Arabidopsis thaliana: one gene and its partner. The protein of the gene in region 1 interacts with the protein of each later gene in a pairwise test. Each region holds a gene or a part of one and is shown in the gene's direction. Other genes may lie near its edges. The genes, in order: AT1G64625 and PIF7.

Region 1 (5,413 bases):
AATTAAGAGTCAAATGCAAAAGATTTTAAAAATTTTGTGTGCTTTCAAAGATGAAGTTTTTAGCGGTTAACCATGACATATAAATTCGTAATATTTTGTAGTTGTTTTTAAAAATATGATTGGATTATATAATAAGTTTTACCTTGTTTTCCACAACTCATTGAATAAAGAATTTGTCACATAAACAATACATATTTGCAACTGTCATAGTAAAAATATATTATCAAATCTAACAAAAATTATGTATATTATGAATAAAATACTCTAAATTTAAAGAAAAGTATGAATCCAACACTATCTCTATCTTAGTACATATATATGTGGACTAATGGTAGTTAGTTAGAGTTACTCTTAAGTTTTAAGCGATAAAGGAATTTTGTTTTGTTTTTGACAGAAAAATATGTTCTCTAGTCACATATTTTAACGAAAAGTTTTAAAATAGCTTATCTAACAAAAAGCAAGTGTACAACATAAAATCCAACTTTTGGATTTATTTCACCACTTTCGGACACAATTGTAATAAGAACGGAAAGTTTCGAAAAGGGACAATAAATCAACTAAAGACGAAAAAGGATTAAGGTGAAAATCTTGATGCCGTTGACTTTTGTTCTCAACGGCCATGATTGAGCGTGTGATGAGTATAAGAGACCAAATTATGGCTATTTCTAATAACCCCAAAAAATAAATTGATTGATGAGTTTTTCTTCATTTGATATGTAATTATAATCACTTATTCCATTTCAAGATTTGTGGATATCTATTGATATTCTCTACCACTATCAAGAAGCTAAAAGTGTATTAAGTGCATGTACATTAGCTTAGGCCGAGAAGTTTTTTTTTTTTTTTTTTAAAGGTGATGTATTTGTGGCACTTAGGCTTAGGCATGTAATGTGTGGTGTGAGATGTTGCGCGACTTGCGAGTAACAAAAATGGGTCTCAAATATTGAGGCATGTATTTCTAACGTTTGCTATATATGCCTTTGATGTTCTCTAAATTCTATTTTATATCGTATTTCCATAGTAATATTCAGTAAAATCATGAAATTCGAAGGTTGATATCAGAGTTTATATAGTATAAAGTTTTAAGATATAAATAATCCATTGAAAACTCAAAACATAGGTACAAAATAGCACCATGTACAAATAAATAGCTAAAATAAAGTAATAAAGTAACAAATTAAAACACGTTTAATACTATTCATGAACTAATGTTCAAGTCTATTTAACATTCACATTTTTCCTTGCTTGTGATCTTCTATATAAACTTAAAATTAAACATGCATGGTTTCCTGATAATAATAAGATGTTTAGTTATATTAAAGAAAAAAGATAGTAGCTCTCAAGACTTAAGGCGGAAGCATAACCTTATTTTTTTTAGGTTGGTACCACAAGAGACCACAACTAAACATTTGGATGAATATAGGTATAACAAATCTCTTATGATATGTATATATCTGGCTTATATATGAATGCATACTCTACGAATGTATGTGACTGCTGACGACATTGGTGTTAGACTGTTGATATAATTATATGAGGCAGTGGATCGAGATTTGAGAACTACTTAAGTCAAGATTATCATACCGAGAATTCAAGATTTAGGTGACACATATTTTGGGAACCTCATTGGCCCATACACTAAAGAGGCGGTCATTCTTTCTTTATAACTCTAAACCATATTTTCCAACCAAAAACGGTCGATGTTAAGCTTTAATATGATGTTCAAGATATAGGATACGAGGGAGAAGATGATCGCTAGAAACTCCACAGCACCATTTATCTTCCTCTGTTGTGGGGATCACATTCTCCTCATTTTTATTTTTCCATTGCACCAGTTTCCACTATAGAAATTTTCATCAAATGTTAGTTAATTAATCATATCTAAATATATTGAATACTATTAAAGTATATCATAAATTCGTATCGAGTATTTAATGAATCGATGATAAAAAGTAAAATCAAAATAAAATCTCCCTTTATGGAAATTATACCCTCGAAGATCCTCTCCCGTCCTAAATTTTTCAAAAGACAACAAATAAATATATAGTAATCAAAGCAAACTTTTTCACTAAACCGGCAATAGCCGGTGTAATTCACGTCACTTCCGGGACAAAAGCGTGACTGGACACCGGCAGACAAATCACATCAAATAAATAATAGTAATATATTTAATTCCTCAGACAAAAAGGCTCTTCCACTTCTTATCGAATTACAAACATTTCATGTTATTGTTTGGTTATATATATAGAGAGACAAAGCTCTTAACTCCTTTTTAATTGCTTGAACAAAAAGCAAAACTCAAAGGAATTTTCTCTGTATTTTTTTCTATCTGCAGAAAATTAAAGAAAAAAAGAGAAAACTCAAAAACCCACATTTTTCCTCTGTTTCCAGCTTTTCTTTATCTTTGGAGTTTGGTTTCTGGAGAAGACAAAAGTTGTTGTCCTTTTTAAGAGTTCGAGATCCTGCAGAAATTAAAAGGGCTCTTCCCGGCTTGGATTCCTAAATATGGGTTCAGAGTATAAGCATATATTGAAGAGTCTCTGTTTAAGCCATGGATGGTCTTATGCTGTGTTTTGGCGTTATGATCCCATCAATTCCATGTAATTTCTCTCTTTTTTCTTTCGAATGTTATATGCATGTTCCTGTCTTGGATAATATTTGCATAAAACTAGTTTTGTTTTCCGTTGATTTAGGCAAAAGACTGAATTGCATATCCTCTGGTTTTATATGTGGCTTCCCTACTTTGGTGTCCATAAATGTAATTTAGTTTTGTTGAATTCCATCAGGATATTGAGATTTGAAGAAGCATACAATGATGAACAATCAGTCGCACTAGTTGATGATATGGTTCTCCAGGCTCCTATCTTAGGCCAAGGGTATGCTTTTACACTTCACTCAAATCTTTTATATATCTGTCTCTGTGTTTGTGTTTATATATCTTCAATATACTTTTCTTTTGATGAAATTAGAATTGTGGGAGAAGTAGCTTCATCCGGAAACCATCAATGGCTGTTCTCAGACACATTGTTTCAGGTTTGTTCACTTCTTTTTCTTGGTGTTTGATTTTTCTCATCTGTGAGCTATAATGTATGTCGAAATATAGTGACTGCATAGAACATTTCATGATGAAGAAGAAAAAAGATTTGATATTCGTGCGTTTGATTGTTTTGCAGTGGGAACATGAGTTTCAGAATCAGTTTCTCTGTGGCTTTAAGGTAATTTATATTTTGTCTTCTCTCCAAGTTTAAGGATTCATATATCCATTTTGAATCAGATTCTTATACGGCAGTTTACTTATACACAGACTATCGCAATCATTCCACTAGGATCCAGCGGCGTTGTTCAGCTAGGATCTACTCAAAAGGTTTGCATATATAATTATATAACAATGTTTTCTTGTTGTGGAAGTCATGGTCTAATTACTTACTATCAATCTTTAGATTCTTGAGAGCACAGAGATATTGGAACAAACAACAAGAGCTCTCCAGGAGACGTGTTTAAAGCCACATGATTCCGGTGATCTCGATACTCTGTTTGAGTCACTGGGAGATTGTGAGATTTTCCCAGCTGAATCTTTTCAAGGATTTAGCTTTGATGACATCTTCGCTGAGGACAATCCTCCTTCTTTGCTCAGCCCTGAGATGATCTCCTCTGAAGCAGCTTCTTCCAACCAAGATCTGACCAATGGAGATGATTATGGGTTCGACATTCTCCAGTCTTACTCTCTGGACGATCTATACCAGCTGCTCGCTGATCCACCAGAACAGAACTGCTCTTCCATGGTGATCCAAGGAGTTGACAAGGATCTTTTCGACATTTTGGGGATGAATTCTCAAACGCCTACAATGGCTTTGCCACCTAAAGGACTCTTCTCAGAGCTCATAAGCAGCAGTCTTAGCAACAACACTTGTAGTAGTTCTCTCACGAACGTGCAAGAGTACTCTGGTGTGAACCAGAGCAAAAGACGGAAGCTTGATACATCATCGGCGCATAGCTCAAGCTTGTTCCCTCAGGAGGAGACAGTAACAAGTCGGAGTTTGTGGATTGATGATGATGAGAGATCAAGTATTGGAGGGAACTGGAAGAAGCCTCACGAAGAAGGTGTGAAGAAGAAAAGAGCAAAGGCAGGAGAAAGCAGGAGGCCGAGGCCTAAGGACCGTCAGATGATACAAGACCGTATCAAGGAGTTGCGAGGGATGATTCCAAATGGAGCTAAGGTAAATTGAATAATAATATAGTTTAGTTTAGGGCATCCAAATTATAGATTAACAAATGCATTCTCTAATAAGTTTCGATATATATTTAAACAGTGTAGCATAGATACGTTGCTGGATCTGACCATAAAACACATGGTGTTCATGCAAAGCCTCGCCAAGTATGCAGAGAGACTCAAACAACCATACGAGTCTAAGGTAATGAATCAAATATATCCATTCAGTAAGTACACAAGTGTTTGAGTATTGATGAGTGAATGATGTTTATCAGCTGGTGAAGGAGAAAGAGAGAACATGGGCGTTGGAAGTGGGGGAAGAAGGAGTGGTATGTCCGATAATGGTGGAGGAATTGAACAGGGAAGGAGAAATGCAGATAGAGATGGTGTGTGAGGAAAGAGAGGAGTTCTTGGAGATAGGACAAGTGGTGAGAGGATTGGGATTGAAGATATTGAAAGGAGTGATGGAAACAAGAAAAGGACAAATATGGGCACACTTCATCGTACAGGCAAAGCCACAAGTCACAAGGATTCAAGTCTTGTACTCACTTGTTCAGCTCTTTCAACACCACACCAAACATGATGATTTATTATCATAGTATAATACCTACCACTTTGATTTTCTTTCTTTTTGTTACAACAACAACACAAGAATCTGTTGATAAATAGTAGTAACATTACATCAAAGAAGATTGTATGGGCTCGTGGAAAAAAAAGAAGAAGATTGTATGGGCTTTAAAACATTGACTAAGACAAAGAAAGAAGGCCCATTTAAAGAAAAAAGGAACGTAACGACACCGTTTTGGGTGGATAACAGTTAACTGACTGAATCAGAAAATAGATGCCCGTTATCCTTGACGAGGATAAAGGGGAGACACTGTATATAAATAAAAAGTTGAACAAAGATCAAATCCTCAATCTGTTTTTAGGGTTTCGAGAGAGAGAGAGAAATTGATTTTTGTTGATATTTGTGAAATTTGGTGGCGAAATTGAAGCTTCTTCATCGGTCGTTGTCTAAAAGCAATGGTGGATGGTTGATGAATGGAGGAGATGCTCTTCTTCTTCTATCCAATAACAATAATAAGAGACACGACGCTGACACAAACGCAGAACCATCTCACCACCGTCATCATCTCGGAGATGGCCGCCACACTCCTCTGTTCCCGATCTCGATTCCGATCGGCGATCGACTCCTATTGCTTC
Region 2 (5,016 bases), on another chromosome or scaffold:
GAAACTTGAAATGAAAGAACACATGAATAGTTAACAAGTACGAATCCTTAAAATAAATCCTAAAAATTCTTCGGAAGATCCACTGATTAAACTTTGCTCAATCAAGCTTTCAATCTCTTCACTTTTTATCTACCTCTTTATCTCTCACACGTACGCACACATACATGAACACATGCATGTCCTCTGCTTTTATATTACAAAAGTGACGACTTTAGGATTCTAGCTAAAACTTGTTATGATAAATTGAAACCATATTAATATTCTTTAATTTTGATAAGTAACAATTGTTTTTCGGGTTTGTGTTGAGTTGCATAGGCAAATTTGTAAAGTCTCACGGAAAACTACGAGTGTTAATTGAAAGAGTACATTCAAATATCAAAAGAACATTGACAGTGACATTTAATTTTAATTTGTAGTTTAATGTATTTTTTATTTATTTATTTTTTAGTTTTATGTAAATCTATAACATCATTTGGTCAATACAGTCATTACCATCAACTAGTGATCAAAGAATAAGTTATCATAAATCAAATGATTAGCAGAAAACAATTGATGTGAAGAATCTAATTCGTATAAAAGAGAGTTTGAACATCAAAGAAAAAAAAAAGCTTGAAATTGAACAGATAACTCTGAGGAGCGTTAGGATTCGCTGTCAAGAATCTAATGCGAGAAGTTGATTGGCTGAATTTCACAGATCAACACTGGGTCCCAAAAAACCATCCAATAAGATCTTTCCACGTGTCATTATGACGACATCAGTTTTGAAGCTGTCGGCCGTAACTCGAGAGCGGAGTGGGTGAAATCACTTAAGATTTTGATGTGACATCAAATGATTGGGAAAGAAAATCTCACAATACAAAGGGGTTGATCCGTATTTATCCATTTCTCTGTACTTTATAGTTTTCGTATTCTTTTCTTCTGACTCAACATCACATATTTCATTCATATCAACTTGTTGTTCCACTACAAACAAGGCTTATAAGCCTCAACTTATGGTTGCAAGTTGTAACCAATCTGATACAAAAGTACTGAACCAATGATTGAAAAAGTCGTCTATTTTTACCTATTTACGTACAAAACTACCTAGACGGCTATGTATTAGGTAATCTCTGGACCAGTGCACATGAGGTCCTATAAGAAATTTAATAAGTGATGCTCCATTTTGAAGAGTACATATAAAAATATCTTAGATAGCAATATAAACACTAACTACAGTAAGAAATCAAAATTTGAAAAACATAATATGTCATTTTAAGAAACAAGTAAGAACAATCTTTGCTTCAATTATTCATGGAAATCAATGAGATATCTCTTTGAGAAATCTAAAAAACTTCTTCTTATTCTTGTTCTTCTTTCTCCCATGGTAGACTAGAAACTTTCTTCCCATACATTACTTTTTGTAAAATGAACTTCTTAAAAATGCTTTTCTTTTTTTTTTACTTTTTAAAAATGTTTTTATGGTGATCATATGAACAAGTCATTTGATATATTGTGAGATGGGAATGGACAGAGAAAAATTAAAGAAGTGATTAAAAGAGGCTGAGAAGTGAGAACATATTGATTGATTCCTAGCAACTTGCATCAAATATCTCTAGTTGATGCATCAACCTCACATCTCACTCTCATTTTTGACATTCGAATACCATACTATAGTTTCGGATTCTTACGTGTTTACTCCAATAAATATATCTTGTTTTCTATTCTTTAATGCGTCTACATATATGTATATATTTCAACTACGTTTATTATACTGTATAACGATAAAAATTTACATTTTTAAATAATAATAATAAATTCTATTATTAGAAATGTGTTTGTTTCTAAATCGGTGAATCACACGCTTTGCTTTGCTATGCTTTCTACCGAGTAGTCAAATGCATGCAATAACACATTCATGTCAATGTGAGTCGGTTGTGAAGAAATGACGAAAATGCCCTCATTTTATTAGTTTTTTTTTTCCTTAAGCAGGAGAGATGATTCTGGACTTGAGTGGCAAAACACAAACAATCCTTTGCCACACATGTGCTTCGTCCACATAAAAACCATTTGACGTTTTGCAGGGACCATTTTTGAGAAAGAGGAGACAAGAAGAGAGAGAGAGAGAGGCCTCTTTATTATAACTTTCAATATGGATCAAAGGCAGATACACCGCATGAGTTGTCGCTGTGATTGTCAAGAGTTTGAACACACAAAGAAGAAAGAAGAACTCAACATTTCAAGCAAGAAGAAAGAGAGAAGAGAGAAGGTCCAATAATAGAGAGAACAAAAAAAAAGAGAGCTTAATTGTCAGTTTATTCTCTGCAAACGTGCGGCCTAAGTAACACATGTATCTCTCTCTGTTTCTGATAAAGAACTCTTCTCTGTTTACACCAAAAAGAGACAAAACCTTACGCTTCTGTCCTTTTTTGTTTATCTCTCTCTCTCTCTTAAGTCTTAACACAAAACCAATTTCTTTTTTTTCGTGACTCAGGTCGAATTATGGAGTTAAAGAGCTCACATGGGAAAATGGGCAACTAACCGTTCATGGTCTAGGCGACGAAGTAGAACCAACCACCTCGAATAACCCTATTTGGACTCAAAGTCTCAACGGTTGTGAGACTTTGGAGTCTGTGGTTCATCAAGCGGCTCTACAGCAGCCAAGCAAGTTTCAGCTGCAGAGTCCGAATGGTCCAAACCACAATTATGAGAGCAAGGATGGATCTTGTTCAAGAAAACGCGGTTATCCTCAAGAAATGGACCGATGGTTCGCTGTTCAAGAGGAGAGCCATAGAGTTGGCCACAGCGTCACTGCAAGTGCGAGTGGTACCAATATGTCTTGGGCGTCTTTTGAATCCGGTCGGAGCTTGAAGACAGCTAGAACCGGAGACAGAGACTATTTCCGCTCTGGATCGGTAACAACTAACAAAATTACTCTTCCTTTTTTTCCTGAAAGATGACTGGAGAAATAACCAAAAGAGGACTTTAATAGGAAACTCAAGATACTGAAGGAGATGAACAAGAGACAAGAGGAGAAGCAGGTAGATCTAATGGACGACGGGGACGAGCAGCAGCGATTCACAACGAGTCCGAAAGGGTAAAAACTAATCCATCTTTTCTCTTTCCGTGATTACCAAACTACTGACTCTGAGTTTTGATGCAGAGACGGCGTGATAGGATAAACCAGAGGATGAGAACACTTCAGAAGCTGCTTCCTACTGCAAGTAAGGTAAATGTCTATCCTAGAAGAACCCACTTTTAAGTTTAAGAACTTTGTTTATATTGATATCGGTCAGTTTAAACGCGTTATTCGGATATTGCAGGCGGATAAAGTCTCAATCTTGGATGATGTTATCGAACACTTGAAACAGCTACAAGCACAAGTACAGTTCATGAGCCTAAGAGCCAACTTGCCACAACAAATGATGATTCCGCAACTACCTCCACCACAGTCAGTTCTCAGCATCCAACACCAACAACAACAACAACAACAGCAGCAGCAGCAGCAACAACAGCAGCAACAGTTTCAGATGTCGTTGCTTGCAACAATGGCAAGAATGGGAATGGGAGGTGGTGGAAATGGTTATGGAGGTTTAGTTCCTCCTCCTCCTCCTCCACCAATGATGGTCCCTCCTATGGGTAACAGAGACTGCACCAACGGTTCTTCAGCCACATTATCTGATCCATACAGCGCCTTTTTCGCACAGGTAAGACCGCTTTTAACTGTTTTCGAGAAAAGTGTTCAAAGATATACAAATCTTGAGCTCACTTCCATTGGCCATGCTGATGCAGACAATGAATATGGATCTCTACAATAAAATGGCAGCAGCTATCTATAGACAACAGTCTGATCAAACAACAAAGGTAAATATCGGCATGCCTTCAAGTTCTTCGAATCATGAGAAAAGAGATTAGTCTAGCGACCTAGTATTATTGATCCATATATATAGTTCTTGAAAGATTGTTGTATCATGATTGTAAAAACTGTTTTGAGTATGGAAAAAGACTTGCAGATAAAACTTGAAAGCTTCACAACTGAATTCAGTAACTGTCAAAGTACATTACTAAACCCTTTGCTATTTCGAGGACAGTAACAAGAAAATTATCTCTTGGTCGCTCTTGAAGTTTAAAATCTTCAATGTTAATAGATCATATGCACAAATAAACTTTTGTCTTTTTTTCTTTCTTTCATTGTTCGGAGACCAAAGGTCTAACCTTAGAAGCAGATGTTGTGGCCTTGCTCTGAGGTTTGTGAGATGTCTTATTAGTGTCCTGAAGAGAGATAACAGTTTCAAAAGCACCAATAAGAGCTTTCACTTTGTGCTTCCTCACCTTTGTTAGCTTATTCACTGTCTCCTCAATCACATTGTTAAACAATGTTATCATTTTCTTCTTCCCTTCTACTTTTCGATGCCTCAGAACAACTTTCTCACGTTTACTTCCTTCACAAGAATCTGTTTTCGTCTCAACACCCAATCTTCTATCTTTAAGATTCTTCTTCTTCCCTTCGGATTGCGTTTTCAGTTCCTGCACCACCCTCTTTTTGAACTTGATCCATCTCGGAGAAGAATCCTCGGGTTTAGGATCAAGAACCTTTCCTTTCTTGAAAGTCATCTGCTGAGCTAGACTCACCTTTACTCCTGTCTTCTTAGGCCTAACCTTCTTCTCCGGTTTTGGATTTGCTTCAACAACGTCTGCAGAGCCAGTTTCTTTCTTCTTAGTCAAACCGGTACTGATTTTACCAGGAATCTGTTTTGTAGGACTAGAACCACGTTTAGGAGTAGTACTCAAGCTTTTATTCCCACTTTTCATGGTTTTCTTCTCAGATGATGGTTGCTTTTCACTCTTAACACCTTTGACGCTAGATTCAACAACACACACAGTCTTTTCTTTTACATCTTCACCGCTAATTGTCTGAGTCGTCTTTGCCTTCTCCACATTCTTCAGATTCTTTGGAGCACAAACCTTAGAACTTCCAACGCCCGTAGAAGTACTTGACTTATCAGTTCTCAAGGCAGGAACCTTCTTAACAACAGCTGA

What was found.
Region 2: the proteins of AT1G64625 (region 1) and PIF7 interact in binary tests that used the Arabidopsis thaliana proteins (3 or more experiments, as listed by UniProt).

The regions. Positions count from the first base shown.
Region 1 is NC_003070.9:24,014,373-24,019,785, forward strand, and holds AT1G64625 (Serine/threonine-protein kinase WNK (With No Lysine)-like protein), read left to right. Parts: upstream 1-2,283; 5' UTR 2,284-2,505; coding exon 2,506-2,600; intron 2,601-2,786; coding exon 2,787-2,876; intron 2,877-2,969; coding exon 2,970-3,033; intron 3,034-3,173; coding exon 3,174-3,215; intron 3,216-3,274; coding exon 3,275-3,364; intron 3,365-3,440; coding exon 3,441-4,217; intron 4,218-4,310; coding exon 4,311-4,412; coding exon of another isoform or gene 4,413-4,457; exon of another isoform or gene 4,458-4,485; coding exon 4,486-4,809; 3' UTR 4,810-4,899; downstream 4,900-5,413. UniProt on the Arabidopsis thaliana protein: Transcription factor that may regulate root development.
Region 2 is NC_003076.8:24,637,748-24,642,763, reverse strand, and holds PIF7 (phytochrome-interacting factor7), read left to right. Parts: upstream 1-1,998; 5' UTR 1,999-2,324; coding exon 2,325-2,326; exon of another isoform or gene 2,327-2,470; coding exon 2,471-2,891; intron 2,892-2,968; coding exon 2,969-3,073; intron 3,074-3,139; coding exon 3,140-3,205; intron 3,206-3,299; coding exon 3,300-3,683; intron 3,684-3,768; coding exon 3,769-3,891; 3' UTR 3,892-4,164; downstream 4,165-5,016. Other genes in the region: AT5G61260 (Plant calmodulin-binding protein-like protein), read right to left, coding at 4,165-5,016.